3 linked regions of the Astyanax mexicanus genome follow. The protein of the gene in region 1 purifies or fractionates together with the protein of each later gene. This does not show direct contact. Links are inferred from orthologs where the notes say so. Each region holds a gene or a part of one and is shown in the gene's direction. Other genes may lie near its edges.

The links.
Region 2: the proteins of cbx3a (region 1) and l3mbtl2 purify together in Homo sapiens (affinity purification with mass spectrometry; 5 studies listed by BioGRID and IntAct, with this or other methods). This does not show direct contact. The link is inferred for Astyanax mexicanus from reciprocal best matches to the Homo sapiens genes CBX3 and L3MBTL2.
Region 3: the proteins of cbx3a (region 1) and chaf1a purify together in Homo sapiens (affinity purification with mass spectrometry; 5 studies listed by BioGRID and IntAct, with this or other methods). This does not show direct contact. The link is inferred for Astyanax mexicanus from reciprocal best matches to the Homo sapiens genes CBX3 and CHAF1A.

Annotation. Positions count from the first base shown.
Region 1 is NC_064410.1:62,359,508-62,363,261, forward strand, and holds the start of cbx3a (chromobox protein homolog 3a), read left to right. Parts: upstream 1-1,359; 5' UTR 1,360-1,507; intron 1,508-3,754.
Region 2 is NC_064422.1:28,444,739-28,448,492, reverse strand, and holds the start of l3mbtl2 (lethal(3)malignant brain tumor-like protein 2), read left to right. Parts: upstream 1-1,018; 5' UTR 1,019-1,195; intron 1,196-1,759; 5' UTR 1,760-1,940; intron 1,941-2,345; 5' UTR 2,346-2,429; coding exon 2,430-2,798; intron 2,799-3,206; coding exon 3,207-3,366; intron 3,367-3,597; coding exon 3,598-3,731; intron 3,732-3,754. UniProt on the Homo sapiens protein: Putative Polycomb group (PcG) protein. PcG proteins maintain the transcriptionally repressive state of genes, probably via a modification of chromatin, rendering it heritably changed in its expressibility.
Region 3 is NC_064423.1:23,636,503-23,640,256, reverse strand, and holds the start of chaf1a (chromatin assembly factor 1 subunit A), read left to right. Parts: upstream 1-1,118; 5' UTR 1,119-1,349; coding exon 1,350-1,419; intron 1,420-2,549; coding exon 2,550-2,600; intron 2,601-3,434; coding exon 3,435-3,754. UniProt on the Homo sapiens protein: Acts as a component of the histone chaperone complex chromatin assembly factor 1 (CAF-1), which assembles histone octamers onto DNA during replication and repair.

The DNA of each region.
Region 1 (3,754 bases):
TTAGAAAAATGTGTTTTTATTATACTTTAAGTAGTTTTGAAACCAGTACTTTTACTTAAAGAGTAAAAAGCTTGAGTTGATACTTCAACTTCTACAGAAGTATTTTAAACACTAGTATATATACCTTTTACTCTACCTGAGTAATGCATGTGTATGGAAATACTTTTCACACTTTTGGTCGCAGCACTACTTACCCAGTGTTGCCAACTCCTCAGTAAGGAAAGTAGCTATTGGCTGTCCTAAAAGTCGCTAGAAGTCGCTAAATGACGTCATCGCCTAATTTGCATAATACATGTTTTTGAAGCTGTAAAGTATTAGGGTTGTGGGAGAGAAAAAAGTGAGTAAAAACACCATAAATGTGTTAGAAATGTTATAAAGGAACAACTTCTGTTGTTTTTTTAAATAGGACGTCACTTTTTTTTACATTAACTTCATTTTTACGTGAATTACATAAATTAGTTTTTTGCCATGTTCTTAAATGTTATTAAAAGAGCAACCGGAACTGTTATTCTATGTTTTTTTTACTTTTTTTTTAGTTTGTTTGTTTTATTTTTATTTTTTATTTTTTTTACATTTTCTTAAGTTTTCTTTATTTTTAAATATATCATAGACAAATTGTTCAATAGTTCAATAGATATTTAGCTTTGTTTTATTTATTATTTTTTTTTAGCTTTGTATTTAGCTTTGTTTTATTTTATTTGTATTTTTTTACGTTTTCTTAAGTTTCCTTTATTTTTAAACCTATCATAGACAAATTGTTCAATGGTTCAATAGATGTTTAGCTTTTTATAAAGAGTGTAACTGTGGAGGAGGTGAGTGACAGGCTGTGTGGTGAATGAGGTGAGTGAATGACTGAGACAGTGTGAGTTAAATTAAGGGATTTCTGTTCGTGTCACACTGAAGACACAGTTATATTTATACTTCTGCTCTGTAAATACAGAGCGGGGTCAGTCAGCGGCGGCTGTGGGCACGCGCGATTCATTTACAGTGTGTTCGTGGAGCGGTGTGTGTGTGTGGGTCTGCACTGTGAGTGGTGTGGGGCGGGGCTCCCGGCAGCGCCCGCTGCAGCGCGGAGGACAGGAACTGAAGAGCGCGTGTTCATCTCAGAGTCGCCAAAAGTCTCCAATAACACCACAAAAACTCGCTAGATTTGTCGCTAGTCGCTTTTTTTTTTTTACAAAAAAAGTCGCTAGAGGGTCTGAAAAGTCGCTAAATATAGCGACAAAGTCGCTAAGTTGGCAACACTGTACTTACCAAGAGAAAAACCCAGGGAGTTTAAATCCCACGCCACGCCTCTTTTACCCCTTCGCAGGAAGCCATTGGCTGTGTGTGAGCACGTAGGGGCGTGGCTGCGCTGAGGGGGCGTGGCTTGACGCACATGTTTCTTCTGCAGCCGCTTAGAGGAGCTGCTGGTTGGCGCGCTGCCAGGTGAAGCCCTGCTGAAGAAGTCCACCGTCCTGCAGCCTCCTGCTCGCTCTGTCTTTACCGGTTTCTGCACAAAGTCAAAGTAAGTCCGTCGGTACGCGCCGTGCACGAGCGTTAGCGCGCGGTGCGTCCGCTTTAGCGTCGATTATTGATCGGTTTGCGCTCTGGTTCGTTCGCTAGCCGGCTCGTGCGCTTTTGTTCGCTTGTTTTTTCGCGCGCGCGCACGCTGCACACGCGGCGTTTTCCCGCTGCAGGGGGGCCGCGCGCTTTCAGTGTTTTTAGCGTTAACTAACTGCGGCGTTTTAACGCGGTAATAACCAGCGTTTTAACGATATTAGCACTGTGTTACTTAGTTAGTAGGTTAACTACGTTATTTTGGTTATATCTGCGTTTAAATGCATGAACTATGAACTAGCCGGCTAGCTAAGTACTTAGCTTGGTTTGAGACTAGTAACTTTAGCTAGATTTAGCTAGATTCATTTAAGTTATAGCTAAATATTGTTTTAAAATGACGCTGTACGACTAAACTAGTGTTTGTAAAGTCAGTTAAACACTACATAACATTAGTTCATTCTTAGTAAGCTAATGTATATGTTTATATTTGGCTGACTCCGTTTTTAGTGGCTAGGTTAACTAGGTAGTAAGCATTGTTGCACATACAGGCCTGTTCTTATTTGGATGTGGTTAACCAACTAAGTTATCTAACCCAGTTCTTTAGCTAGCTGAACAGTTAAGTTAACTAAGGATACAGTTTAATGAGCCAGTTGGCTTTGTTTATACTGGCATTTAAATGTATCAGCCGCCCATAAACCAGCCGGTTAGCTTTGGTAGCCTAGCTAGCTTGCTTACCTACGTTAGAAACTTTAGTAAGACCAGTACATTTCAATAGCTTTACTATTAACACTATTATCAAGTAGTTTTAAACCCAGTTATCATCACATGACGTTAGTTAATACATAGATAGCAAAAAAAAATAGCCACATATATTTAACTTTACTCTTGTAGTACACAAACTAGCTAATAAGCATGGTTACACATACAGGCCTGCTCGTATTTGGATGGTATCTACCTAATTAGGGTTATTTAACTTGGTCTAATTCTTGTAGATAAAGCAGTAAAATATTGTCTATAGCTAGCTTTAATTATTTGGCCTTAATTTCTTAGGCATTTAAGTGGATCAGCAGCACATTAACATTTAAGAGGGCTATCTAGCCTATTAGCTGGGTAGTTTAGCATACTCTTTTAAATTAAACCCGTAACTTGTATTACCGTGCTAGCTAGTTGTTTAACTTGGCTTTTAGGATAGTAGCTAAGCATTTGTAGTGGTAAATATTTAAGTCATATTAACTGCACATAACTGTATTTTAAGTTAATTTAAGATTGGATAAGGTAGCTAGCTAATACGCTGTGTTGCACATACAGGCCTACTCGTATTTGGATGCGTTAGCATTTGCTAACTAGGCGGCTAACGTGGTCTAGTAGTCGTCTAGCTAAATTTTTCTTTTAAGTATATATTTTTAAGTATATTTATTTCTAACTAACACAATTTAATTCAGTATTAGCCTTTACAAGCTAAGTTACGTTAATAATGAAAAATCCTTTTTAAAATGAGCTTCGGCCTACTCCTAGCTAGTTAGCATTAGCCTGTTAACTCGGTTAGCAAGCTAGCGAGCACAAAGCATCGTCGTTTTGTGGTTAAAATCTCGTGTGTGACTGTTAAACTCTGTCTACTTTGTAGGTAGAACATACATTCGTGATTTTATGCGTAATTCAGATTTTGTTGCCTTAATTCTTTAATGACCATCTCTGTTTTCGCCCTCTCCGTCGTAGCCAGCTAACGCTAATTAGCTTCAGTTGTTAGCTAAGCTAACGTTAACTAGCTGCAAAGCCAGCGTTTGGAAAGCTGAGGCGCCGGGTACAGAAACCGTGCAACAAATGCACCATTAAATACAGGATATTTTTATTTATAGTTAGTTAGTTTAGGTATTAAAACACACATTTATACATTGATGGCAGATAAATAGCAAGTTAGTCTTTTACAATGGCATAACAGATCAGAAGCAGCGTTTAAAGCTCCTGTATATAACAATGAAGTTGTGATATGTTACAAGATAACAATAAAAAATAAAAAAATAACAATCGTTATATTATTAGATTAAGGTCATAATAGTACGAAAGAATAAAGTCGCAGTATTTTGAGGAAAATATACTTCTAACTGCTTGGGCTGCTAGTTAAAAACAGAGCAAGTAGGAGGGAAATTAGCATTTTCTGCTCATGATCTGTTACAAGGCTGCTGTGATTATCATCAGTTCTCTATATTTCTAAACT
Region 2 (3,754 bases), on another chromosome or scaffold:
CCTCCTCGGAAATTCTTGCTTATGAGTTTGGAGGTCGTACTTACGACTTGACATGTGTTTGAGGGTTTTTTGGTGGGGTGGAAATGGACGCCATTAAGAAAAGGTTTTGTTAATACTTTTGGTCTGTTATCACAAAAAACGAGAGTTTTATTTTGCCCTACTCCAAGATAATAAAGTAAATAAGACCTTATTAGCTGAGTGATATTTTTATTCTATTAGATCTGTAAATCATACTAGACTTTTACGTTTTTTTCCCCACGTATTGATTTTATTAATTAGCTAATAACAACTTGCAAGTGTTTAAGTGTTACGCAGTTTACATTACGACCTGTCTGCATCAATTTATTAAATGTATCAATTTATATAATTAAGTTAAATGAATTTATTGTTACTGACACGCCCCCAACTGGGAAACTCGGGGCTTGACAAAAAATCTGAGCTTCTCATTGGTATATAGATATTTCCGACAGCAAAAGGTAGAAAGTGAATGCGGGTCACTTTTGACTGTGCATTAGAGGAGCAGTACAAAATAGTATTTTTTTAATCAAGTAAAAAAATAAAATAAAGTTGTATGATGACCCCATAATAAGTAAGGAATGCATTAAATACTAAATAATTAAATTTACTTTATTGCAAAAAAAAACTCAACCGGGACATTTAACGTTAAAACAAAAATAATATGAGAGACAGATTGAGATATTTAATAGCTAGATGGAAAAGGTCAGGTTCCACCGAGATTTGAACTCGGATCGCTGGATTCAGAGTCCAGAGTGCTAACCATTACACCATGGAACCGCCATATCGCTACGGGTAGAAGTTTGTGTATTTAATGATAATATGATAGCAGTTTGTATAATGAAACAGATAAAATAGTTGTTTGTCCAATCATACGATAGATCTACAGTTTGCATTATATAAATGTGTTAGTTACAGCTGATATGTGAGTATAGAAGTGAACAGAGCGGTTTTAAACAGTAAGGCGTGAATATCTTCCTCCACTGTGGGGCAGCAGCACGCCTTCAGCCCTCAGCCCGTGATCCGCAAAGAAGCGGGAGAGGCGCTGGGAGGAGCGGTGTGGGGCTGCGGGGTCTGTTTTGGGCTGAAACACGTTGTTTATGCAATGTTTGGTATGTTTTTATGTCGTGTTCTCTGCTAGGATCCATACTTTATATCCCAATGGAGGAGAGAGTCTGAGGTATGGCTGTTTAACATTTTCTTCATTCATAGAGAGCTAACTAATTTTTCAAGCTGTGTTGATGATGTGACTAAAGAAAATAGTCACTGTCGTTTAATAAAACAAATAGCAGAGCAGCCCCGGTTCCCCTTTCACAGAATAAAACCATGCTTTATTTAATGTTAGTACAGCTGTTTTAGTTTGTATCTGGTTTAAGCGGCTCCACAACTCACAGCTTACTGCAGTTTACCAACTACATAATGTCAATGTGTCTAAAAGCTAACTAGGTTAGCTAACCTACATGAATCTGTACATATTAATATAAAACTACAGCTTTATTTTTATTGAGTAAATTATAGTTATTATTGTGTCCTCGATTTTTCAGTGTATTGCAACATTTTGTTTTGATATAACGTTACTGTATCAATTTATTATTAGTTATAATATACAGCCCTGGAACAAATTAAGATACCACTTAAAAATAATCAGTTTCTCTGATTTTGCTTTTTATAGTTATATGTTTGAGTGAAATGAACATTGCTGTTTTAATCTATAAACTACTGACAACATTTCTCTCAAATATAGGAACCTGGATGGTCACAAGCCAGCAGAACTGCTTTAATTTGTGTGGCAAGAGTGGCATAAGGTCACCCAAAAGCAGTGTGAAAGACTGGTGGAGAGTATGCCAAGATGCATAAAAGCTATGAATAAAATCAGGCTTATTCCACCAAAAATTGATCTCTGAACTCGCATTTATTAAGAACTGGTGAGTAATGTTGTCAGTAGTTTACTTGTTAATTAGTTTACATGTAAAGATTCACAGATGGTTCATTTTCTGTTGTGTTTAAAGCCCAACCACTAGATAGCAGTGCTGCACTGTGTGAGATGCATAGCCAGTAATGTTTTTTTTTTGTTTTCACGTAAAAAATTATTTTGATTTAAACAATCACAATATGTCACCTTGTGATATCTTGAATCGTACCTCCTGTAATGTGCTATATATCGTATTGCCAAGTACTTGCCAATACACAGCTCTAGTAAAAAGTCTATTTGGTCCACACTAAGCTACAATACAAGGTACAGCAATGATTAAGCTATTCTATATACTGTATATTGACACATGATTGTCAGTAATAATCAACTCTCATCCTGTGCATCCTGTGTGTTTCAGAGGACCTGCTGTGTTGTGAGCTGTACTCTTCACAGAATAGTTCTTCTTCATCTAACTACCAGTTATACCAGTTAAGGGGGGAAAATGCCCAACTGCTGCGCAGCATATGGCTGTGGAAAGACCCATAAAGACAATGTCACGATGTTCAGGTTTCCAAAGGACCCTGTGAGCTTCCGCAAATGGGAAAAGCAGGTACAGAAGACACGGAGCAAATGGTATGCGAAGGGCTTCTCTTTCCTGTGCTCTGAACATTTTAGCAAGGACTGTTTTGAGCCGAGATCCAACGCAGTGGCCAAAGCCATGGGGTTCAGGGGGCTGAAGCTAAATGAGGGAGCTGTTCCTACAATTTTCATCCGCCGGCCTTGCAGTAACTGTCACGGCAAGGGCTGTGTGTCCTGCAGTCCAAAGAAAAAGAAACACGACATGGGAATGGAGCCCCTGGACTCTGAAGCAGTGAGTATTAGGGCTGTCCATGGAAAAAAAAACTAAACTAACTAGATTAAACGGTACAATTGAACTAAGTTTTAGCTGAGGAGCAAATGAATGAATAACTCTCAATGAATAACTTAAAAACACCTTGTAATGGACATCAGTCAGTAACAAATGCTGTATAAACTGTATATCTCTTCCAACCCATGATCAAAAGTGTCTTGCACTACATTCTAATACATATTAACATTTTAATAGCTGAAATATATTGATCTGTAATAATAAAATATACCATTTCTGCATAAATGCTTAAAAATAAAATAAAAATAGTAACCATATTAACTTATTTGTATTCAAATTTAAGTTAAGACTTCAGGGTAATTGAAATTCTGTCTATTGTATTAATGCTCTTAAGTTTCTTTCTCTCTAAAGGAAGAGTACACAGGGGCTCCTGTGGATCTAGACTCTGATGCTTTGGAGGAAGAGAATGGAGAAGAGGAGAATGAACACATAGAGCAGGACCATTCTGATGGAGTGGTTACTAGTCCCACATTTCGTTCACGTGGTTCTTTTGTGCGCAATGATGTAACAGGTATAGCTAAAACAAACCTAAAAGTTTGAATAACTAAACTCTCCTTTAGATATAGGAACTATTTTAGTACAGAGTAAACTGATAGTCAAACATGTATCAGTAGAAATGTTTCATTTTTGAATTATATTTTTCTGCATTCTGTTTGGTATTAAAAGCTATTTATTAAGATGCATATTGTAAAGTTTTAAAGAGACAGATTTTACTTAATCCTGCTTCTGTGTCTGTCTGCAGTTGTCTGTGAGAAGTGTGGTGTTTCTGGCACCAGAGGAAGCTTCTACTCCAGGAGTAAACGCTTCTGCAGCGCATCCTGCTCACGCTCCTTTTCCTCCAGCTCTAAGAAATCTTCCATACTGGCACAGCTACAGGTAAAGAAAGAAAAAAGACAGAC
Region 3 (3,754 bases), on another chromosome or scaffold:
ATAATGAAGTGCATCTTAAAAAGGGTAAACCCAATAAAATGTACAATACCAGCAATCCCTTTAGCACTCAGGAGTGAAAAGCATCTGAGCTCTTGCACCTTGCTGGACTTCACAAGGCCTCAAAGGACTGCAGCTAATGGATGTTAGGTGTGAGTTCAGGGTGACGCCATCTCACAGAATTCCAGGACTGGGAAACTGAGCCTCAGTGTTAATTTAAGCTCCAATTTAGAAAAATTAAATTCTAGAAACTGAAGTTCTAGGTGTTTGAAAATAGTAAAAGAAGTAGTGAGTAGTAAGAATCCAGGAAAAAGCACTTTGCAACCAAAGAAAAATAACATACATCTAGCGAAAATTAATATGAACACAGCCAAAAGTAATATGCACAATTAAAAAGCAGTAAGCAGAGGAAAAATATGTATACAGAAAAACAAAAATGTGCACTTTATTGTACGCATAGGAAGAAAGTGGAATAAACACTTTACACAAAATTAACAAATAATCATAAAAAGTTGTAAACAGTTTAAAAAAAAAAAAAAATAGTACGCATAAGTATGGCTGCTGTCTTCTATTAATAAATGTACATAATTATTGAAAGTCGCTTTGGACAAAAGTGTCTGCCAAATGTAATGTAATCTAATGTTAAAGTATGCATTTAGAAAATACACTATGTACACTTTAATGCAGTTTACATCCAGAGAAATGTAACATGCATTTAGAAATAGTAATAGGCACACATGATAATCCATTATTAACCATTAGACTATTTGTATTAGTAAACCTATTAGACTAATAGTATTAACTATTTAAAAAAAAATGTCTACACAGTTAAAAAGTATTTCAATAAAGGTGTCAACCATATACAGTCACTGGTGTCACAGTAAAAAATATATACTAATTTGTAAAATTAAATTTTCAGACTTAACTTCGAATATGAATTTGAAATCAGTTCACATCTATGAAGAGTTTTGACTGTTACTGTGGGAAACGCTGTCCCAGAGGGAGGGAAAGTGCTCTGTCAGGAAGAGCCAATCGCTGAGTTTTATGTCCGCGGTGACGAATCGCCTCAGCGACCAATCAGAGGCGGCGAGAGGAGCTCGCGGAGAGCTCCCGCCAATTCTGAGTAAAGCGCGAGGGAACAGCGGGGAAACGGGCAGAAGGGGGAAAGCAAAGCCCGGGCGGAGAGAAGAGCACAGCGGCGCTACAGTAACGTATTCCGCCCCGCTCTCTGTTACAGAGTTAATGAGACCCGGGACCGTTTATTCTGAAGTTAAATAACCTTCTTTAGGACTCTGTCGCTGCTTCGCGAGGCTGTGTGAGCTACCAGAGCCGGGGCTAAGTTGAGGAGACGGATGGTGGTGGTGATGCTTGCGGCCGAAGACCCTTCCGCGGATGGGCCTTTGGCCTCTACGCCACGCAGAGGTGCGAGTCTGGGGTGTCGTTTCGGGTGTCTTTATTTATTTCTGTGTTTTAGTTTCCCAAAGGCTTGTTTAAACTGGTTTAAAGTCTTATTTTCTGCCAACCGTAAGATTTCACCTGTCTGGCCAAGTTAGCAAACCAGCTAGCGTTAGCTAACCTAGCTTATAGATATAGTTTGTAGTTGGGCAGTTAGCCAGTATAGCTAATTTAAGCTAACTACTAACTAGCTAAGTTTGTTGTGAAGTGTTTGGACATGTCGACTATCAGACTTTACTCACCTTCGTATATTGCCATATAAAAAAAACGACTTAAGGGCTGACTTTCTTTTTAACATTTTACACAAATCGAATGCTAATGTCATTTAGCCGACTTAATTAATTTGAAAGCTAAGCTAACTTAGGTAGCGCTTATTTTTGTTTTCGTGCGGTTTTCATATTGTCCATTTTGGTTCTTAGGAGATGTAACTAGCTTAGGTAGCTAACTATACATGTAATTGTGACTTATGTAAGTTAAATGTAACATTAGTTATTTTAGCTAGGCTAAACCAGTCAGGACACAGGGAAAGTAATGTAAGTTAGCTGTAACGTCTGCTCTCTTCTGAGTTCAGGGGCGCCAGCTAGCAGAAGCAGTGGCTGCTCTCAGTAGTAAAGTGCACAGCCGGGCCTGCTGCATAATGGATTCAGTGAATGGCGGGAGAGGAAAAAAGCAAACATTTAGTCAGACGTTAGTAGTTACTAAGCTCAGTCTGCCTGTTCGTCTTGGAAACATTAAAACCGTTCAGTCTCAGTAAGGGCTGTAGGAGGTTCAGTAACTTACTTGAATAGTTTGTTCATTCTGGTCAAGGCATGTTTCCTCAAAGGACCCTCACAAATTGTCTGAACTCTTAAAATGTGTTTATTAACGTGAAAACTGATGTGAAACTGACATATTGTTGCTTTGTACTACGGATGTCATTGTTGTTAACGGTTTAAAAAGAAGTAAATCAAAACTAAGTTCCATTTTCCAGGTTTGTAGATGTTGCTAGCTATATATCTAACTAGGTTAAATGTATTTGAAATAAACGGCATCATTCAGAACTGAAGCTCGAGGCAATAATACAAATCTGGTAATTCAAAATGTCTTTTTTAATGCAGGTATGGACTGTGTGGACAAAGCAAGTGCTGCCACCAAGAAGCTTGTGCAAGGTAACTGGCTAGTTCTGTATGTTACTGGAGAATTCAACTGTTAGCTATGTGTACTGAAAGAGACTTGATCTTAAGTAATATATATATATATATATATATATATATATATATATATATATATATATATATATGAAATGATTTAGTTTGTGTAAGAAATTTGGTAATTTGTCTTGGTTTTAATTAAGCTCTAATATGTATTGGCCACTTGTATATGCACAGTGTATTTACATGCATAACATAAGTGTGTATTGACAAGAATCTGGGAACACAATACGTGTTATGATAATGGGGTTACAGTTCAACTTATTGCAGTACTGGTAGCAAGACAATTTCGATTTTTTAAATGTAATTTTATAAAAGAAGTATAAAACACACCATCACATGCATTAAATCAATAGAAAAGTTTATTGAGCGAAAAAAAAGGTGTAATCTGAAGACATCTAACAGGATATGTATTACGATACTGAGGTTACAATTCAGTACATTGCAATATAATTCTCTCAAATTCAAAATCTAATTTTAGAAAAACTCACCAGCCTATGCATGACATTTAATAGTGGAATCTGAACAAATTTTGAGCAGGAAATTTACATCTAATTGAACCAAAGTGCATCAACAAATCTTCGGATGTATACTGGTAAATTAATAATACATAAAAAATAGTATTTTCATACACTCCTTTTTTGTATTGTAACATTCACAAACAGATTTTTGTATACTCTTCGGTCAGCATGTCCCAGTAATTTAAAAATGCTCAAACTTGATTGACATTGAATCAATGTAAAGGCCAAAGCATTAATTTTTTTTTTTTTTTTTTGCCTTTTTCTTTGGCAGCCCGTCTTCCCTTCAAACGACTTAACCCAGAACCCAAGGAGACTAGGGAGAAGAAAAGAACAAGAACTGGACCGGCTGCTCCCCCTACCCATGAATCCAGTGCTTTGGATAGAGAGAATAAAGAAGATGAACCCTCCCTTCCCTTGCAACGTAGACCTGCTTTGGTTAATGGGCGTGGGCCCCTTGATTGTTTCATGAGTAGGAAAAAACGTACTCCAGTTAGCTCTTCTTCATCTCTAATGATTGACTTAACAGAGGAATCAAACTCCACTGATGCTCTTAGAGAACAGCCATCTGCTCCTGTAGATGCCTCTTACCCA